Stegostoma tigrinum: one gene and its partner. The protein of the gene in region 2 interacts with the protein of the main gene of each other region in a biochemical or structural test. Links are inferred from orthologs where the notes say so. Each region holds a gene or a part of one and is shown on either strand. Other genes may lie near its edges. The genes, in order: ilk and fermt2.

What was found.
Region 1: the proteins of fermt2 (region 2) and ilk form a complex in vitro, tested with the Homo sapiens proteins (2 studies listed by BioGRID). The link is inferred for Stegostoma tigrinum from reciprocal best matches to the Homo sapiens genes FERMT2 and ILK.

The regions. Positions count from the first base shown.
Region 1 is NC_081359.1:113,377,865-113,387,533, forward strand, and holds the start of ilk (integrin-linked protein kinase), read right to left. Parts: upstream 5,099-9,669; 5' UTR 5,086-5,098; coding exon 4,990-5,085; intron 1-4,989. UniProt on the Homo sapiens protein: Scaffold protein which mediates protein-protein interactions during a range of cellular events including focal adhesion assembly, cell adhesion and cell migration.
Region 2 is NC_081363.1:46,420,144-46,430,547, reverse strand, and holds the start of fermt2 (fermitin family homolog 2), read left to right. Parts: upstream 1-5,271; 5' UTR 5,272-5,611; intron 5,612-5,653; exon of another isoform or gene 5,654-5,765; intron 5,766-6,076; exon of another isoform or gene 6,077-6,094; intron 6,095-6,189; exon of another isoform or gene 6,190-6,209; intron 6,210-6,379; exon of another isoform or gene 6,380-6,399; intron 6,400-6,529; 5' UTR 6,530-6,536; coding exon 6,537-6,693; intron 6,694-10,404. UniProt on the Homo sapiens protein: Scaffolding protein that enhances integrin activation mediated by TLN1 and/or TLN2, but activates integrins only weakly by itself. Binds to membranes enriched in phosphoinositides.

The DNA of each region.
Region 1 (9,669 bases), on a different chromosome or scaffold from region 2:
AAAACCCTTAACCCCACTTGGCATTTCTTGCCCTTGAGCCAATTCTCTATTCACACCAATAACTATCTCTAATACCATGATCTCTTATGACTTAACCTTATGCCCTGGCATCAATGAACCTGTTCCCAAGTCATTAATAATGCCCACTATCTCATGAGTTGGCTCACAAAAATCAACAACCCTGGAGTGGAGTCCTGAGCGGCTAATGATCCCTTTAAACAAGAACCTCCAGAAATTTGGATTTCATGGGTTTCACATTTGGATCCTGTCCTGCCCCTGGATCCAGTCTGTAAGTTTGAAAAGGAGATGCAGATGATTGACAAGTCTATGTGGCCAAACCATGCCCTGTCTTTACAGGCAGAAAATCTTTTCAAGAAAACAGACTTAAGAACTTCTGATGAGAGTCTATGATGTTTCCTTGAATCAGATGGAAGTACAAAGTCACCAATGAAGCTACCTTTTGAAGGCAAACATGCCCAGCATGCTCACACTGAAGATGGCTGCATCCCCAAAAATTACTGTGTTAGGGTCTCAATTATTCTCATTATTTATTAATCACTTGGATAATTGCATAAATATCCAAATCGGTTATCCATCTTGGATTAAAAAGCAGATAGATCAGGATATTTTCTAGATGGTATAAATTAAATATATAGTCGATGCCTGAAGAAATTTTGCGTTTCACGTGTATATATCTGTTAAATACCACAGAAAATCATCAAGAAAGCTCAAGCAATGTTGGCCTTTATAATCTAGAGGATGCAGAAGTTATGCTGCAGTTATACAAAAGCCTGGTTAGACCCCACTTGGTTTACTGTGAGCAAATCTGGGCACCAGACCTTAAGAAGGATATATTGGCCTGAAGTGAGTACAACTTCGGTTTACAAGAATAGACTTCAGGGGTTAAGTTATCAGGAGCAATTATACAAATTAAATCTGTTTCCTTTAGAATTTAGAAAGTTAAGGGACAATCTGATAGAAGTCTTTAACAGGAAAAGACAGACTAGATGAAGATAAACTATTTCTGGTTGCAGACTGTAGAATTAGGAGGCCTCGTATGAGAATCAGGGCCAGACCATTCATGAGAGATGTTAGAAAGCACTTCTACAAACAAAGGGTGGCAGAGATTTGGAACTTTCTTCCATAAATTGTAGTTGATAGGAGATCAGTTAATTTTAAATCAGAGATAGGCAGTTTTTTGTTGAACAACAGTATTAAGGGTTATGGCACATAAAGACAGGCATATGGAGTTAAGTCACAGATCTCACTAAATGGCAGATCAAGCTTGAGAACCCGAGGTAACAAAGTGTGGGGCTGGATGAACACAGCAGGCCAAGCAGCATCTCAGGAGCACAAAAGCTGAAGTTTCGGGCCTAGACTCTTCATCAGAAAAGTTTTCTCCAGCATCTGCAGTTCCCATTATCTCTAAGCTTCAGAGCCCGACTGGTCTGCTTTGTTCCTGCGTAAATTGCCATACAGGGAGGGAGCGCATATCAAGACACTAACAGGTTGCACAATGATCTGGTTCAAAATCAACCCTAACATGTGGGAAACTCTGGCTGATGACTAATGTAAACAAAAACACCAGGTGTCATCTCAACCACCACGATTTCAGACACTCCAAAACAGTCACCAATCTTGCTAACAAAGCATCAGCAGGCATCCTCCTGCACCACGAGCAAGGGACAACTTTATGGGCAGCACTTATGACAGATGTTGCCTCTTTCTATAATAGGCGGTAATTGGCTGAGGTACTGCCATTGAGAAGGTAACAGGGAACTAGAGGCTCCCAGCTCCGGGGCAATTTAAAAAGGACACACAGCTTGAGCACATTTCTGTTCTTTGCACAGGATGAGTCCATGCGAAAATATGCGCATGTCGTTTCTAGGAAGCGGAACGAATCATGTTCTGAGCTTGCTTATATTTAAATAATGAAGATATTCGGGCAGAGATAGTAGGAACTGCAGATGCTGGAGAATCCGAGATAACAAGGTGCAGAGCTGGATGAATACAGCAGGCCAAGCAACATCAGGAGGAGCAGGAAGGATGACGTTTCGGGCCTAGGCCTTTCTTCAGAAAGGTCCTTTTTCTGAAGAAGGCCCTAGGCTTGAAATGTCAGCCTTACTGCATTTAATGCCCTTGGTAGCAAAGAATCAGCCACATTATTGGTCTGGAGCCAGACATAGGCCTGACCTGGTAAATACAGCAATTTCCTTCCCAAAAAGACACTGAATGAAACAATCAAAATTCCTGAGGAATATGGCTTATGTGCCTGGGATACATGACATTGCTGAATTACGTGGAAGATTTCAAACTTATCTGATGGTAGCAACCTTTAATGGAACATACAACTTGCATGGCCACTGTAAAACAGCAGTATAAAACGAGTTTTCTGAAGAAGGGTCTAGGTCCGCTACATCAGCCTTCCCGCTCCTCTGATGCTGCTCGGCCTGCTGTGTTCATCCAGCTCTACACCTTGTTATCTCAGATTCTCCAGCATCTGCAGTTCCTACTATTTCTGTATAAAACAATTGATCTGTTGTCCAACCCAGGCATTTGGGGAGCCTCAGTGAGTACAGGACAGCTTTAGTACAAATATAGGCAGTGCAGTATATTGTCAGCACATTTTTGTTCATATATATTGTTACCATTGTTTAAAACTTGTCCTTGTGTTTGGCCTGAGAGCAAAGCGAAAAGATCAGACAAAATATTATATAATGCAAAACTATATTATGCAAAATACTGCAGAAAACAGAAACAGAAACTGAAGAAACTCAACAGGCTGGGCAGAATCTGTGGGCAAACAGTTAAAGCTTCGAGTCTAGTATGACTTCTTCAGTTCTGAAAAGAGTTGGAAAATATCCTTCTTTATGCTGTTGACAGAGGCAGAATCCCAGTGTAAAAAAGTTGCTCATGATGGAGAGAGATTTAAATTGATTGTAAATTAAGGTTTGAAAGAGAGAAAACGATCCTCTCTACTAAGAGCAAAGCAAACAAGACAAGAGAATGAACAACATATCTTTCTTTTCAGCAAAATTCAGATTCCCTTTTATTTACGTCACAGCATCAAAAAACTGATCAATTTGTCAAACAGGATTTCCCCTTTCACAGAAGCATACTGACTCGATATAACTGAGTTATACTTTCCTAAGTACATTGTTAAGACTTCCTTTGCACACATCATTCTGAATTGGTACTGTATCACCATTCCTTCACTGTCACAGGTTCAAAATACTGCGTTCCAAACAGCATCGTGAGTGGTCCCAGACCCCAAGGACTATAGCAATACAAGAAGGCAGATCAATACCATCTCTGTGGCTATTACAGATGGACAATAAATGCATATAAAGGAACAAAAATGGTGCGCTGTTTTGAATTTTAGCAGAAATTTCATACCGATTAAAGTTTAATGGCAAAAACACAAAGACCTCAATCAATGAAAATACTTATAAAACATAAACAATGGACTACATCACTATCAAGGAAACCAGAGAAAGCCCAATCCAATAAATATCCCCATACCTCCGAAGCTCAGTGCCTCTTCAGCCCAACTACTCCAAGGCTCAGTACCCCCACCCCCTCAGGTTCAATGGCCCTCACACTCTGAATCATTCATCTAGCCTGGCAAGGCTCAGTGCCTACCCCCCACCTCGCCCAACTCGCAGGCTGGATGCTGTCAAACCCCCAATCCCTGCTTCAGTGCTCCTTCAGACACCCGACTTTACCCTAAACTTCCCCACACTCAGGCTCCGTGCACCTGATATCTCCTGAGGTATAGTGCCCACACCCACAACTGAAGATCAGTGTCCTCTCATACCTCCATTTCAGGAATTTGACAATCCATTCCATACCCCCAGGCACATTCACTCCCAACATTTGCACACACCTCCACACCCAGAATCAGTGTTCTGATACCCCCGCCCAAGCACATTCACCCCTCGCACTCGCACGTGCCTCCCCATCCCCGATCAGTGTTCCACCTCCCCACCCCTGGGATCAGTGTTTCTCACTCCCTCCTCCACCCAGCACATTCACCCGTCACACTCACAAACACACCTCCCCTGGGATCAGTGTTTCCCACTCCCCCTCCCCAGGGATCAGTGTTTCCCACACCCCCTCCCTGGGATCAGTGTTTCCCACACCCCCCTCCCCAGGGATCAGTGTTTCCCACACCCCCCTCCCCAGGGATCAGTGTTTCCCACACCCCCTCCCCTGGGATCAGTGTTTCCCACTCCCCCTCCCTGGGATCAGTGTTTCCCACACCCCCCTCCCCAGGGATCAGTGTTTCCCACACCCCCCTCCCCAGGGATCAGTGTTTCCCACACCCCCTCCCCAGGGATCAGTGTTTCTCACACCCCCTCCCTGGGATCAGTGTTTCCCACACCCCCTCCCCTGGGATCAGTGTTTCCCACACCCCCCTACCCTGGGATCAGTGTTTCCCACACCCCCCTACCCTGGGATCAGTGTTTCCCACACCCCCTCCCCAGGGATCAGTGTTTCCCACACCCCCCTCCCTGGGATCAGTGTTTCCCACACCCCCTCCCTGGGATCAGTGTTTCCCACTCCCCCTCCCCTGGGATCAGTGTTTCCCACACCCCCCTCCCCAGGGATCAGTGTTTCCCACACCCCCCTCCCTGGGATCAGCGTTTCCCACATCCCCCTCCCCAGGGATCAGTGTTTCCCACACCCCCTCCCTGGGATCAGCGTTTCCCACACCCCCCTCCCCAGGGATCAGTGTTTCCCACACCCCCCTCCACCCAGCACATTCACCCCACACCCCCACCCCCAGGCTGAGTGCCAACTAACTGCCCCACCCCACCCGAGGCTCAATGCCGTCCTGAGCCAAAACTCGGAATCGTGGCGCCGCCTCCCCCCGTTCTTCTGGTTATTCCCTCCCAACCCCGTTGCCCCGGTTACACTCTCCCAAGCCCCGTTACCCAGGTTACGCACTCCACCCAAATCCCGTTGCCTCGGTAACCGGATCCTCACCGTTTCTTTCAGGTTCGCCCCAAAGCGAGGAAACTTTGAGAAGCCGCGCCTGCGCAGCGGTAACGGCACCGCCCGCCGTTTTGGAGAAATGCGCATGCGTATCACCGCCTTCATCGCCTCCTGGTGTCCCGCCCCCATACCCGTTGAAGGTGCACGGCCACGCCCCTGGAACGGGAACCGCCTACCGCAATCCGCCGGTGTACGACTCCGCCCCACGCCCCGCCCCCACGCCCAGGTGAGACGATCCACATCAATTGGTATCAGAGATATTGGGAACTGCAGATGCTGGAGAATCCAAGATAACAAAATGTGAGGCTGGATGAACACAGCAGGCCCAGCAGCATCTCAGGAGCACAAAAGCTGACGTTTCGGGCCTGGACCCTTCATCAGAGAGGGGGATGGGGAGAGGGAACTGGAATAAATAGGGAGAGAGGGGGAGGCGGACCGAAGATGGAGAGTAAAGAAGATAGGTGGAGAGGACAGTATAGGTGGGGAGGTAGAGAGGGGATAGGTCAGTCCAGGGAAGACGGACAGGTCAAGGAGGTGGGATGAGGTTAGTAGGTGGGAAATGGAGGTGTAGCTTGAGGTGGGAGGAGGGGATAGGTGAGAGGAAGAACAGGTTAGGGAGGTGGGGATGAACTGGGCTGGTTTTTGGGATGCAGTGGGGGGTGGGGACAAGCTGGGCTGGTTTTGGGATGCATTGGGGAAGGGGAGATTTTGAAGCTGGTGAAATCCCCATTGATACCATTGGGCTGCAGGGTTCCCAAGCTGAATGTGAGTTGCTGTTCCTGCAACCTTCTGGTGGCATCATTATGGCACTGCAGGAGACCCCCGATTTTGATTTATTGTAGTCACATGTACCTAAGTACAGTGAAAAGCTTTGATTTGCAAGCAGATCGGAGCAAACCAGGACCTACAGATCATAGATAATAAAATGTGAGGCTGGATGAACACAGCAGGCCAAGCAGCATCTCAGGAGCACAAAAGCTGACGTTTCGGGCCTAGACCCTTCATCAGAGCTCTGATGAAGGGTCTAGGCCCGAAACGTCAGCTTTTGTGCTCCTGAGATGCTGCTTGGCCTGCTGTGTTCATCCAGCCTCACATTTTATTATCTTGGAATTCTCCAGCATCTGCAGTTCCCATTATCTCTCTCCTACAGATCATAGGACGCTTAGACAGAGCGAGGCATTAGGTTATGGCTGCAGAGGAGCAAGGTCAACATTAGATTTAAATTAGAGAGATACATTCAGCTGCCTAACAATGCCAGGGAATCACTACTCTACCTCTAATCACCAAGCCATCATCACCCAGACCGTCGACAACTTCATCACCTCGGGAGATTTCCCGTGCATAGTCTCCAGTCTGATAGTTCTCCAACACTGCATTGCCCACTTCTATCTCCTACCCAAATCCTGAAACCCGTCTGCCTGCTCCTGCCCCATTGAGGTCACCTTCACCAACCTCAAATCTGTTCTTTCCCCTTTGGTCCAGGAACTCCCCATCTACATTTAGGACACAACCCACACCTTCCACTTATTTGAAAACTTTCTATTTCCAGCCTTAAACACGTCAATAGACAAGAGGTGCAGGAGCAGGCCATTCGGCCCTTCGAGCCAGCACCACCGTCTTCATTATGGACGTTCAGTCCCTGGATACCTGTATCCCACACAGGGATGGCCAAAAATCCCTCTGCTTCTTTCTCTCCCGTAAGCCCAACCAGTTCCACTCCACTGACACACTCATTCACTTGGTGGAACTGGTCTTTTCCCTCAACAACTTCTCCTTTGATTCCTCCCACTTCCTACAAAACAAAGGGGTGGCCACAGGCACCCACTCAGACCCGAACTATACTTGCCTTTTTGTAAGATTCGTAAAACAGCCCCTCTTCAACAACCATAACCGCTAAATCCCTCAGCTCTTTCTCTGTGATACTGATGACTATCAGTGCTGCCTTGTATGCTTGCAAGCTTGATTAGTACATCAACTCTGCCAACACCTTCCAGCGTACCTTCAAACTCACCTGGACCATTTCTGACATCTCCCTCCCATCTCCATCGCCATCTCAGATAACCGACTCTCCACTGGCATCCACTTCAAACCCAAATGACTCCAACAATTACCTCAAATACACCTCCTCTCAGCTACCCTCCTGCCAAAATGCTATCCTATATTCAATTCCTCTATCGCGGCTCCCAGGGTGAAGTATTCTACTCTCGGACTTCCCGGATATCTTCCTACTTTAGAGATTGTAATTTCCCCTCCTCCGTTATTAAGGAAGTCCTCACTGCATCTCCATTTCCTCACTTCTGCCCTCAACCTTCTCCCCCCACAACAATAAGAATAGAGCCCGCTTAGCCCTCTCATACCACCCCACCAATATCCATATACAATGCATCATCCCCCGACATTTCCAACACCTACTATCAGACACTATCACAAAAAAGATGTTTTTCTTCCCAACCATGTCTGCTTTCCTCAGGGACTACTCACTCACAACTCCCTCATTAGCTCCACACTCCCCACCAACCCCTCCACCACACCTGGTACCTTTCTCTGCAACCACAGGAGGTGCTACACCTGCCCCAACACCTCCCCCCTCAAGTCTGTCCAAGGCCACAAACAATCCTTCCAAATCTGCCACAGATTCGCTTCATCAAACCTCATCTATTGTATTCGGTACTCCCCACGCAGTCCCCTCTATATCGGAGAAACCAAACACAGACTTTCCTGCTCCTCGGATGTTGTCTCACCTGCTGTGCTTTTCCAGCTCCACATTTATTTACTCATGCTTCCAGTGTCTGCAGTCCCTTACCATCTCCATGGCAGGGAGGAAGCTGTTGGTCCATGTGTTCAAGCTTTTGTATTTTCTGCCTAATGGAACAAGTTGGGAGATAGCATTACCAAGTGGGAAGTGTCTTTGATAATGTTAGCAGCCTTTCTGTGGCAGCGAGCCATGTAAATAGAGTCCACGGATGGGATGTTGCCTTCCATGATGGTCTGGGGTGTGCGCATCACTTTCTGTAGTTTCTTATGGTCCTGGGCAACACAGTTGCTATACCAGGCCATTAAATACCTGGATTGTATACTTTCTATGGTGCATCTGTAGAAGTTGCTGAGGGCCCTTACAGACATCTCAAATTTCCCAAGGTGCCTGAGGAGGAAGAGATGTTGAGGAGTCATTAACCTCAAATTCAACAACAATCTGACCGTGACAATGATGCTTTGCAGAGAATAGTGGTTTCTGAGATCAGCCAAAGCAGAATGAGACACAGATGTTAAACTGTGGGAACTATGGGAGAATATATATATAGAGGGCAAAATCTGACAAAAGGCGCCACCTACTTAAAATAGAGATGACAAGGAATTTCTTCTCTCATCTAAACGCGAATCTCTGAATTCTTTATGCACTTGGCTTTAGAGGCTAGGTCATTAGGCATAATCAACAATAAAAAAGACCTTTAATCAGTGATGGACTCAAGGGTTAAATAGAAAAACGAAAAGAACAGTGGATGCTGTAAATCAGGAACATAAACAGAAGTTGCTGGAAAAGCTCAGCAGGTCTGGCTGCATCTAGAGAGGGAAATCAGTTAACTTTTTGGGTCTGGTGATCCTTCTTCAGAAATGGAAACAACAGCGAACACCAGGGAAGCAGCATGGTTCTAACTTCTCTGGTGCCAGGGATATCACAAAGATAGTAGGAACTGCAGATGCTGGAGAATCTGAGATAACAAGGTGTAGAGCTGGATGAACACAGCAGGCCAAGCAGCATCAGAGGAGCAGGAAAGCTGACATTTCGGGTCTAGACCCTTCATCAGAAAAGGGGGAGGGGAAGGGAGTTCTGAAATAAATAGGGAGATGGGGGAGGCAGACAGAAGATAGATAGAGGAGAAGATAAGTGGAGAGGAGACAGACAGGTCAAAGAGGTGGGTAAAGTAAGGAGTTAGGGAGGGGATATGTCAGTCCAGGGAGCGGGATGAGGTTAGTAGGCAGGAAGCGTTGAGGTACGGCTTCAGGTTGGAGGAGGGGATAGTTGGGAGCCCAGCTTGACCCCACCTCCCTAACCTGTTTTTCCTCTCACCTATCCCCTCCTCCCACCTCAATTTCCTACCTACTAACCTCATCCTGCCTCCTTGACGTGTCTGTTCTCCCCGGACTGACCTATCCCCTCCCTACCTCCCCACCTATACTCACCTTTACTGGCTCCATCCCCGCCCCTTTGACTTGTCTGTCTCCTCTCCACCTATCTTCTCCTCTATCCATCTTCAATCCGCCTCCCCCTCTCTCCCTATTTATTTCAGAACAACCTTCCCCTCTCCCATTTCTGACGAAGGGTTTAGGCCCAAAACGTCAGCTTTCCTGCTTGGCCTGCTGTGCTCATTCAGCTCCAAACCTTGTTATCAAAGGGATATCACAAAGATGGTCTGAACATGGTGGCAGCTCATTGAAAATGTGTCAGACACAAACCCCTGAACTCGGATTCTCCAGCATCTGCAGTTCCCATTATCCCTGCATCTGCAGTTCCCATTATCCCTGCATCTGCAGTTCCCATTATCCCTGCCTTCCTGCCACCACTCCTCACTCCCAGCACAGATTGTAATCATCACCTTCGCCAGAGCATGCTGTTGCTCCTCCCGGCCGTAGGGGTCGCTTCTATTACACCTTCCTGTCAGAGAGGGCACC
Region 2 (10,404 bases):
GCATTTTCTCTGCTTCAGGATCAGGACTGAATTCCTCAATCTCCACTTTCTGCATCTCTGATAGGTGCAGACAAAATTGCTGTCTGTAATTATCCTGTATTAGGAGGGAAGCCCTTAGCCTGATATTGAAAATGGCTTCCTCTGCCCTTTTATCCTATGGCAATCTGAATAGTTTATATCCAAATTGAATTGCTAATCAGCTCGCTTTGATCCCAACTCCTCTTCATTTTGGAAGTAAAAGTAGATGTTAAATGAATAGTGAGAGAGTCACAGTGGTACTATCACTGAACTATCATCTACAGACCCAGGAAATCTGCCATTCTTACTAGGTCTGCAATGCATAACATTCAATGTTCACAGCCTTGGTTCAGATATATACAAAAGACCTGAAGACCAGAGCCGGGGAGAGATTGATTGCCTTTGACATCCAGGCCCTATTTGACTGAGTATGGCATCAAGGAATCCTAGCAAAACTCAAGGTAATGGAAATTGGGGGGGATGGGTGAAAATATTCCATTGGGTGGAGTTAAATCTCGCACAAAGGAAGATGGTTGTGGTTGCTAGGAGGTCAGTCATCACAGGTCGAAGATCAGCACAGGAGTTCCTCAGGGTAGTGTTATAGGCTCAATCATCTTCAGTTGCTCCATCAATGGCTTTCCTTCTATTATTAGGTCAGGAGAAGGAATGTTTGCTGGTAATTGCATGATGTTCAGGATTATTTCTGACTCTTCCAAAACTGTAATAGACCATGTTCAAGTGCAGGAAGACCCAGACAATGTTCAAGCTTGGACTCAAAAGTGACAATTAATATCTGTTTTACACAACAGCCAGGAAATGATTATGTCCAACAACAGACAGTCTAATCATCAATCCTACATATTCAAAGGCATTACCATTACCAAATTCCCCACTATCAACATCCTGGGTGTTATCATTGACGAGAAACTGAACAGGACCAGCCACATAAATACTGTGGCTGCAAGATCAGGTCAAGAGACTAGAAATCCTGCAGCAAGTAACTCAACTCCTCACTGACTGAAGCCTGTCCACCATCTACAAGGCACAAAGCAGGGATATAATGAAACAGTTCCCACCCACAGTCAGTTCTGCTATAACGCAATAGATGCATTCCTATGCAACATCTCACTATAGAAAATCACGCTGTAGTAATGACAGGGCCTATGGGTAAAACAGCTCTATAGGCAGACCACCTAAAAAAATTACTCAAAATCATTCAAAAAAACTCAAAAGCCTAACACAAAGGATAGAACAGTTTGAATAAATGTTTGGTTCATATCTAATGATGAAATAAAAGCAAATTTAACACCTTACCTTGAGAAAATGTTTCCTCTGGAGTTCAGACAAATGAGGGGGGATCTCATAAGAACTTATAAAATTCTGACAGGACTGGACATAGTAGGTGCAGGGAGGATGTTTCTGATGGTGGGTGTGTCCAGAACCAGGGGTCACAGTATGAGGATTCAGGGTAGACCATTTAAGATGGAGATGAGGAGACATTTCTTCACCCCAAAGAGTGCTGAGCCTGTGAAATTCATTACCACGGGGTGTAGTTGATGCCAAAACATTGAATGCATTCAAGGGGTTACTAGATATAGAACTTGGAGCAAATGGGATCAAAGGTTATGGGGAGAAAGCAGGATTAGGCTGTTGAGTTGATCAGCCATGATCATGAAGAATGGTGGAGCAGGCTCAAAGGACCGAATGGCCTCCTCCTACTCCTATCTTCTATGTTTCTTTGTAAGATGACTTGATGGGGGGAGGAGGTTTTGAGGTTGCTTTGTTGTTAATGCAAGTGATAAGGGTCGTCATCGTCATCATCATCATCATCACCGTCAGGTACAATTGTGGTTGCAGGGTTAGGGCGAAAAATAGTTAATCCAGAAATGGATGGCTGTGATTCATTTTCTTCCGACTGTTTCATGAGTGTTCACTTAAAAAAAAGACAGACATCCAGTTTTTGCTGATTTGCCCTTTTTCTTCTTTCATGAAGAAACTGTTCATAGGGTGCCAAATAAGATCTTACTTCACAAACTGCTACCCTACTGTTCTGCATTCTAATCATTGTCCTCTAATCGTTGCAACTGCTTCTCAATTTCCCTCAGGATAGAAGTCAAAACAGAAGTGGACAATTCTCATGGTGCCGCATCCTGGACTACTTCTTCATCTCCAGCTTCCCCCTCACCTCAGCGACAAATTGTTGCAGATCAGCCGTAGAAAGTCGGAAAGTCACAGTCGGACTCAAGCAGCTCTTCAACATCCTCACTCTCCACCTCTTTAAATCCAACTTGCTTTGCAAGATCAGCACCATGTTCTTTGATTCATAGGAGCTCCTCTGACAGGTCAAAGCTTTTAAAATCTTGAAAAAAATCTACGAGAAGCATCCGCCAAACTGCATGCAAGCAGTTTTAACTGACATCAGCACAGGTTTGCATTCTTGACATCAAAACTCTTCCAAAATTGAACAGCACTGTCCTTATCCCCTTGAGTAACTGCAATCAGCCTCTTAAATGTGCACCTTAAATAATAAGCTTTAAAAGCTGCTATTGCAACCTGGTCCATGTGTTGAAGGAGAGCGGTTAAGTTTGGGCATAGAAAAGGCACTTCATGTTTCAGAAAACTCACCAATGGTGGGAGGATGGCTTGGTGCATTATCCAGAGTGAGGAGAATTTGTACCTCTCACAAAAAGTGCTTCACAACAAAGTTGCAAAATGATCGCATAATGCCAGCATGGAGACTCTTCTGGCACAAACATTGTGCATGCTCAGGATAAAGCCAGTGAAACAACCATGTGATGTTGACACAAATTCCTCAGTGCACCAATGGAATTGTGCTATAGCCGACACAAGTTTGTGAGTTGTGTTATAGCCAATTTGTGTTGCTGGAACAAGGCGTTATAGCTGAACTGACTGTACCTGGATAAGTGCAGCTTCAACAACACTGACAAAGCTTGATTCCATCCAGTACAAAGCCCACCTGTTTAGCACTAGGTCCTCAAACATTCACTCCCTCCACCACCAATGCAGAAAAGCAGCAGTATGTACAACCTACAAGATGCACTGCAGAAATTCACCAAGGCTCTTCAGACAGCACCTTCGAAACCTAAACCATAGAACATAGAACATAGAACAGTACAGCACAGAACAGGCCCTTCAGCCAATGCTGTTGTGCCGACCATTGATCCTCATGTATGCACCCTCAAATTTCTGTGACCATATGCATGTCCAGCAGTCTCTTAAATGACCCCAATGACCTTGCTTCCACAACTGCTGCTGGCAACGCATTCCATGCTCTCACAACTGTCTGTGTAAAGAACCCGCCTCTGACATCCCCTCTATACTTTCCTCCAACCAGCTTAAAACTATGACCCCTCGTGCTAGCCATTTCTGCCCTGCTCGAGAAAGGTCATGGCTGCAGACGCATAAAAATGTCACCAGCTGCAAATTTCCCTGCCAGCCATTCACCAACCTGACGTAGAAACATTACCCTGTTCTATCACTGTTGCTGGGTCAAAATTCTGGAATTCCCCCTAATAGTAGAGAACATACTTATACCAAATAGAGTCATAGATTCATACAGCATGGAAACAGACTCTTCATCCAAGTAATCCATGCCAACCATGTTCCCAAAATAGACTGTAGAGATTCAGGAAGACAGCTCATAACCACCTTCTCAACAGCAACTAAGGATGAGCAATAAATGCTGGCCCTGTTAGCAAAGTTCACATCTCCTGAATAAAACTTGATAACTTACAGAGACTACAGTAAAAGATGCTTTTGTTTCTGAACCCAAGTATTTTGTATCTTCATCCTAGTAAAATAATCGGACTCCTCTATTGATGTCCAACAATCAAACCATCCAGATTTAAGGCAACAAAAACAGAAATTGCTGGAGAGGAGTGTCAACACCTGTGGAAATAAAGCAGAGTTAATGTTTAGAGTCCATTTCAGAACAGATTTACTATCAAGTAGATGGCAGAACAGGCCAAACAACACCCTTCATTTACAATAAATTTAAAGAAAAACTCAAAAATACAATAAAATTATAAACCAAAAGATGTATTTGAATGAACCTCACAATAGTAATGAAAACCAATAAAATGAAAAAGGGAATAACTTGGAATTAATGTAAATACAATTTAATGAATAAATACTTATGCTTGTACATAGTATTTGTTATTTCTAAACTTGACTGTTTCATTCCTATCCTAACTGGCCTCACCACTGCATCTCTGCAATGTTTTGGAATCATTGTGTTGCTCTAACTCTGGTTAGTTGGGCATTCTGATTTTAATTGCCCCAGTACTGGTAGCAGTACCATCAAATGTTGAGGTCTAAAACTCTGCCTCTCCCTTTTGCAAGACACTCTCAAAACCTTCTTCTATGATAAAGCTTTTGGTTGGTTGTACTACTCTCTCCTGATGTGACATGTTTTGAAATTCTATTTGATAATGATCCTGTCACTCACCTTTGGATGTTTTACTCTGTGAAAGATGCTACTCAAATAAAAATCCGTAAACATACAAATACTCAAGGTTTACCCAATTAAGCAGAAATTGGGTGCTTTTTTCAGAGGATTGTGATATTTTGGGATGATTCTTTATGGAGAGATGGAAAGCAGTGTCTTTCAATATTTTTAAGGCAGAGGTGGATAGATTTGTGTTAAACAAAAGAGTGTCAGGGATAGACAGGAATGCGAATTTGAGTTTACAATCAGAACAGTCATGATCTTATGGGAAGATGGAATAGGGTGAAGGGGCTGAATGGCCAGTCCTGCTCCGTTGGTATGCTCATAAAACTGTATTTATATCATCGAATGGGCCATCACATCTCCCTGCTGAACAAAATTACACCCGCTTAGGTTAATTCCATCTGCATTACATGTGTGCGCTCAAAAAGTTGGCTCTACGTACGGCAACGCCAAATAATGAGCCGGACACCGGAGGGGAAGAAAGAGAAATGGGGAATTTTTTTTCACCAAAAAGTGCAGGAGTGGAAAACGTTCGTGGTGGAGGCTGTGAAAGTGTGCGTGAGGCTCCCGAGCACCTACAGTGGCGATGGGGCTTCGCCGCGCACGACGGGCCGTAAGTGCTAACGGGAATGCGGTCTCCGGGATCAATGTGGAGCCCGAGTCCCGGATGTGCGGCGCTGCTTCTCCTCATTTCCATAAAAGGCAGCGGAGGCTCGGCTTGGGCTCGAGCTGGATCCCCAGTGCGGGGGGAGGGGCGTTGTGGCCGCCGAGGGGTTGGGAGGGAGGGGGCGGTACTAGTACTACCGCCTGCCCGCCCTCCACGGCCACTCACACACAGAGACATGGACAGCGGGCTGTGACCGCCGTAGACAGATTGAATTTTACGGCGACTCGGAGAAGACGCTGAGACAGAGGGGGCGGAAAAAAAAAATCCCAGGATTGACTCCATTAACTGTCCATCCAACGGCCGCCAGCTTGGACCCTCTTCTTTCTCCGCGCCTGTGGGAAAGCTGTTTAAACTGTATTTTTCCCCCCAACCTCTTTCTTCCCCCCCCCCCGTCCCTTCCCCCGCCGATATTGCTGGGCTGTCGCCAACGTTTACTTTCAGTGGATCCTTCGGAGGTAATTTTGGCTTTAATGTTAATATTGTTTTTCGGATTATAACCCCGGGTATAACTGCTGCCGAGTTTAAACCCCTCGCCATCTCTGCCACAGTTTAGAAACCCGGCCTGCATTCAGTTCTGGTGGACTGTGGTCCGGCACGGCTGTGGAGGAGGTTAGTTTTTCTTTGATAATTTGTATTTTTTTGTCGTTTTTTTATGGTTTATGTGGAGGAAAGTGTGCGTCGAGGAGGAGGAGGGTTGGGTGAATTTGCATTGAAGCGCTGTCCTTTACCGTGTAGATCGAGTGACAGACGGGGAGGGGTCTGACACGATGGGGCTTCAGATGGAGGATGGTTGAGGTGGTGGGGGTGGGAGAGAAACGGAAAGAGACGCCCAGGGGGTTTGCATTGTCTCGCAGATGGTCTTCGAAGCCCCTTTCCCTCGCTCGTGTTGCTCTCTATCCTGCCTACTTTTTTTAAAATATAAAAATCCGTTTCAGATTGTGAGTTGCGCGGTCATAAATCAGTCATTGTAAAGTTTGTCGCCGCACTCTGTGAGCAATAGAAATCGTGAAGCCTCGTTTTGTTCTAAAGAATGTGCAACTTTTAAAGAAAAATGTGTGTAAAACCGATTTCAACAAGTTTGCAATACTGCTGTGAATATCAAACTGTAATTTGAAGCCCTATAACGGAAAATGCGTGGCCCACTCCTTGCACTTACTTCGTACGTGCAAAGACCGTCAATTGGACTTGATCTTTGTATCTACTGTGACTCCTGTTACTGCTTTCAATGTGCATTGGCTGCAAGGTCTGTGTAGTTGCACCTCGTGCTGTGCTGTCACCATATCAGTAAATGACATCGTCCGCTTCTTTCAACAGCCGAACGTTTAATGTTGCCGTTTGGTTCATTTAACTCTTTCACTGCCCCCCCCCCCCAGGTAAAAGATGGCGTTGGACGGGATTCGGATGCCGGATGGCTGTTACGCTGATGGGACGTGGGAATTAAATGTTCTTGTGACCGACCTAAACCGCGATGTTTCTCTCCGAGTGACCGGAGAGGTGCATATAGGAGGAGTGATGCTCAAGCTGGTGGAGAAACTGGGTAAAGTCCTGATTTTAATGGGTGTGCCGTCGCCTACTTTTGCTAATTCCCGCCCTTCCCCAGCCCAAAAAGCATGGATGCTTCGACATCGCGATTACCCGATGCCATGTATGGGTTCAAGTTTAGACCGAGTGATGCGTTGGCTCTGCTGAGAAAGAATTTCGCAATGATATGCCAAACCCCAGTTTTCCTTTCTAACTGCTGTGGGGACTGAGTTATGTTGAACTTCACTGGGATATTCCTTCTGATCGTACAAATAAACACCTATGTTTATTTTAAGACGTCTTTGTCTATTGGTTTCAGGATCGATACTACAATGTTGCGTGAATCGGTTCAGAGACTTCGATCCACCAAAGTAAAGAATAGGAATTTGTAAAGTACCAGTAGATGTAGCATGAAGGTTTGCACAAGAATATCGCTAATCTTCAATGAATTGAAGTAGTGAATGTCTTTCAGAGGCTGCATTCGTCACTGGAAGATAAAACTCTGGCTAGAGAGAAATTAAATTCTTAATTAATATGTTCTACTCTTAACTGTGTAACTAATGGTATATCACAAGGAGTTTGAAAGGGACACAGCTTTTATTATTCAGTGTTTAATTTTCTATTATGGTGTATGTTCCAAGGTCTAACTTCAATTAAAGCTCAAAGCAGACAGTTTTCTGTTTCTTTTCAGTATTCTAACCAGTTTTTCCTCACCACAGGCCTTTCTGTTACGTTCCTGAACCATAAGATAGTTATCATGACTAATTAATGAAGCTTTGTTTGAAATATCAACACTTTACGTAGTGCCCATGACAATGTGGTGACCCTAAGTTCTTAAGAGTAGTAGAAAGGAATATTTGACTCGGAGCTCATAGGGTGGATGGCCAAAGATTTAGTTGAATAGGTACATTTTTAGGGAGAAAGGAGATAAGGAGGGAATTCCACAGCTTGGGCCTTGACACCTGATGCCCAGGCACTAACGATGGAGCAGTTTAAAATTGGATGCTGAAGAGACCTGAATTAGATGAATACCGGTATTTTGGAAAGTTGCAGGGCTGGAGGAGATTGGTGAGGCCATAGATTGAAAACAAGGAAGAGAATTAAAATAATGCCAATTTTAAATAGAAGTATTGCTTGCCTGGATGTTATAGATCAGTGCCGACAAGAGTAATGGGTGAACAGAACTGCATATGTCAAGATGCACGTGGCAAAATGTATAGCCTGTGTTTTCTGGAGGGTATGTGGGAGGCCAGCCACCATGTAGTTGAAGCAGTCATTGTCTAGATGTCATAATGCCATCGATCAGTTTTTAGCAGCAAGTGAGCTGATGCAGGTGAGGAGTTGAGGTGTTACGGAGATGAAAATAGATCTACTGCCAAGAATGTGTGGTTGGAACATCATCTCTGGGTTAGATGTGACCACAACGCTGCAGTCTGGCTCATTCTCAGAGTTGCATGTGAAATGAATGGAGTTTGTGGTGGATTCCAAACACAATGGCTTCCTTCACCATTCATTTGCCTCTTTTTATGTAAAATGGGTTTTTCCAAGGCTAGATTGCAAATGATTTTATTTTGCAAAACTTGGAATAGAAGCAGATGGATGTGAATAACAGAGATTAAATCTTTAAGGCAAATTTACTTCATAGGTATCAGTGAAAACTATTCTCTTTAGAACCTATTTGATTTATCTTTAAGGAGTGCTTGTACTATGTAAATAACGATCATAGATAAGCATTTGTAAAGAACAGGCACAAATCACTTTCTGTGAAGGACTGGAATGTCAAAAGGTTTTATCTGTGTAGAAATAGTTAACTTGTTTTAGCAGTACAAATGAGCAATTGACACAATTTGGATTGGAGATGCATATCTTAGAAGATATAAAGATGACCAATGCATCTCTCATGATAAGAATGGAAGGCTAAAGAGTTTGTCTGTCATGTGCCATGTATGATGAGCTATCCAGAACTAGTGACCAAGACGAGTGAGTTTATATAGCAATTCAGAAGGGTCATTGAGTTTGAGGTCTATCTGACTGATGATAATGTACAACACTTGGATATTTCTCTGTAATGCATATTTTCATAATGTGAGAGTTGACCAAAGATAATGTGATCAAAGGGGATGACCACAGCAAAATTAGATGGTGATGTAAGACAGTTTAAAGGACTAGACTTGTACAGGTGGCTCAGTGGTTAGCACTGCTGCCTCACAGCACCAGGTTCAACTGTCTGTATAGAGTTTGCACATTCTCCCCATGTCTGCGTGAGTTTGCTCTGTTTTCGTCCCACAGCCCAAAGATGTGCAGGTTAGGCAGATTGGCCATGCTAAATTGCCCATAGTGTTCAGAGATGTGCAGGCTAGGTAGATCAACATGTGAAATGCAGAGTTACTGGGGTAGGGTAGGGGTCGGGGTGATGGATGGTCTGGGCAGCATACTGTTGAGGGTTGGTGTGGACTCAGTGGGCCGAATAGCCTGTTTCCACACTGTAGGGATCCTATGTTTGTACAATATTCTTGACATTTGTCACACAGGAATGATAATTAGGAACTAAAACACTCCGATAAGGCTGTATTAAGTTAATTTGTCGTCTGGGACAATACTTACCTTGGAAATTGGGAAATTTCCTGAGTGTCTCCAGAATGCCATTTTATCAACCATCATTATTTTCTTGTAAAGTCCTGTGTTCTTTTAGTTGACCCAATCTACACCTGATGGATGATGTATAGTAGAGGATTTGATAAGAACATATAATTTGTTTCATATTTCAAACACCAGCCTAAAAAATATCATGGGGCTAGTGAAAAGTTTCCTGGGTTTAGGTGGGAGAACAGTTTATAAACTGTGGTTCACGTAGGATCCATTAGCTTGGAGAAGAATGGTGGAAAAGTGTTTGAGGAGTTGAGAAGTAGATTAACAAGTCATTGCTGTGGGAGTATTATTATGTTAGTTTGTTTTGACATTTTAAGCATGCTAATAGTAGTGCAACCAGTTTTTAAATAGGATGCTCAACATTACTTACTTTAAAAACTGATGTGTCAACCAATACTTCAGGAATATGTGTAGGATGTTGTAAATTTCCCCAAAGTTTTATAATGCATTTTGGAATAAGGAAAACAGTTTAGATGGTGAGCTTTGCCTGGCCTAACTGTTTGGTACCAGTTTCCTTGATAGAGCTCACAGATACAGTGGGAAATATGAGAGGAAAAGGATGGGTAAATGTTTGAGAAGGGCGAGAAGGAAAGCATTAAGTTGGACGTGTGGGAGAGAGCATATCAATGGCACTTTGAGGACAATAATGCAACAAGTCAGCAGATTGTGTAAGCATATTTACGTGGCTAAAATGTGTCCAGTTCTTTCTTTAGATTGAGGTGAATTATTAGGGATGGATATATTTTAATGACTACTTGGTGAATGCAAAATGTGTGGATAGATAGCTCTTAAAATGTAGTGGTTTCAAGACGAATTTACTGTGACGATAGGTTGGAATACAATAATGTCTCCAAAGTTTTAGACTGACGCATTTTGTGTAATGAGAATGAAGATCTTCATGTGTGGAATGAACATCCAGAGGAACTGGTCAATGTGGGTACAGTTATAACGTTTAAAAGTTATTTTGAGTAAGTACATGAATAAGAAATGTTTCGAGGGACATGGGGTAAGTCATCTAGACTTAAAACATTGGCTTGCCTTCTCTCTGTGGATGCTGCCTGACCTGCAGTGATGCCCA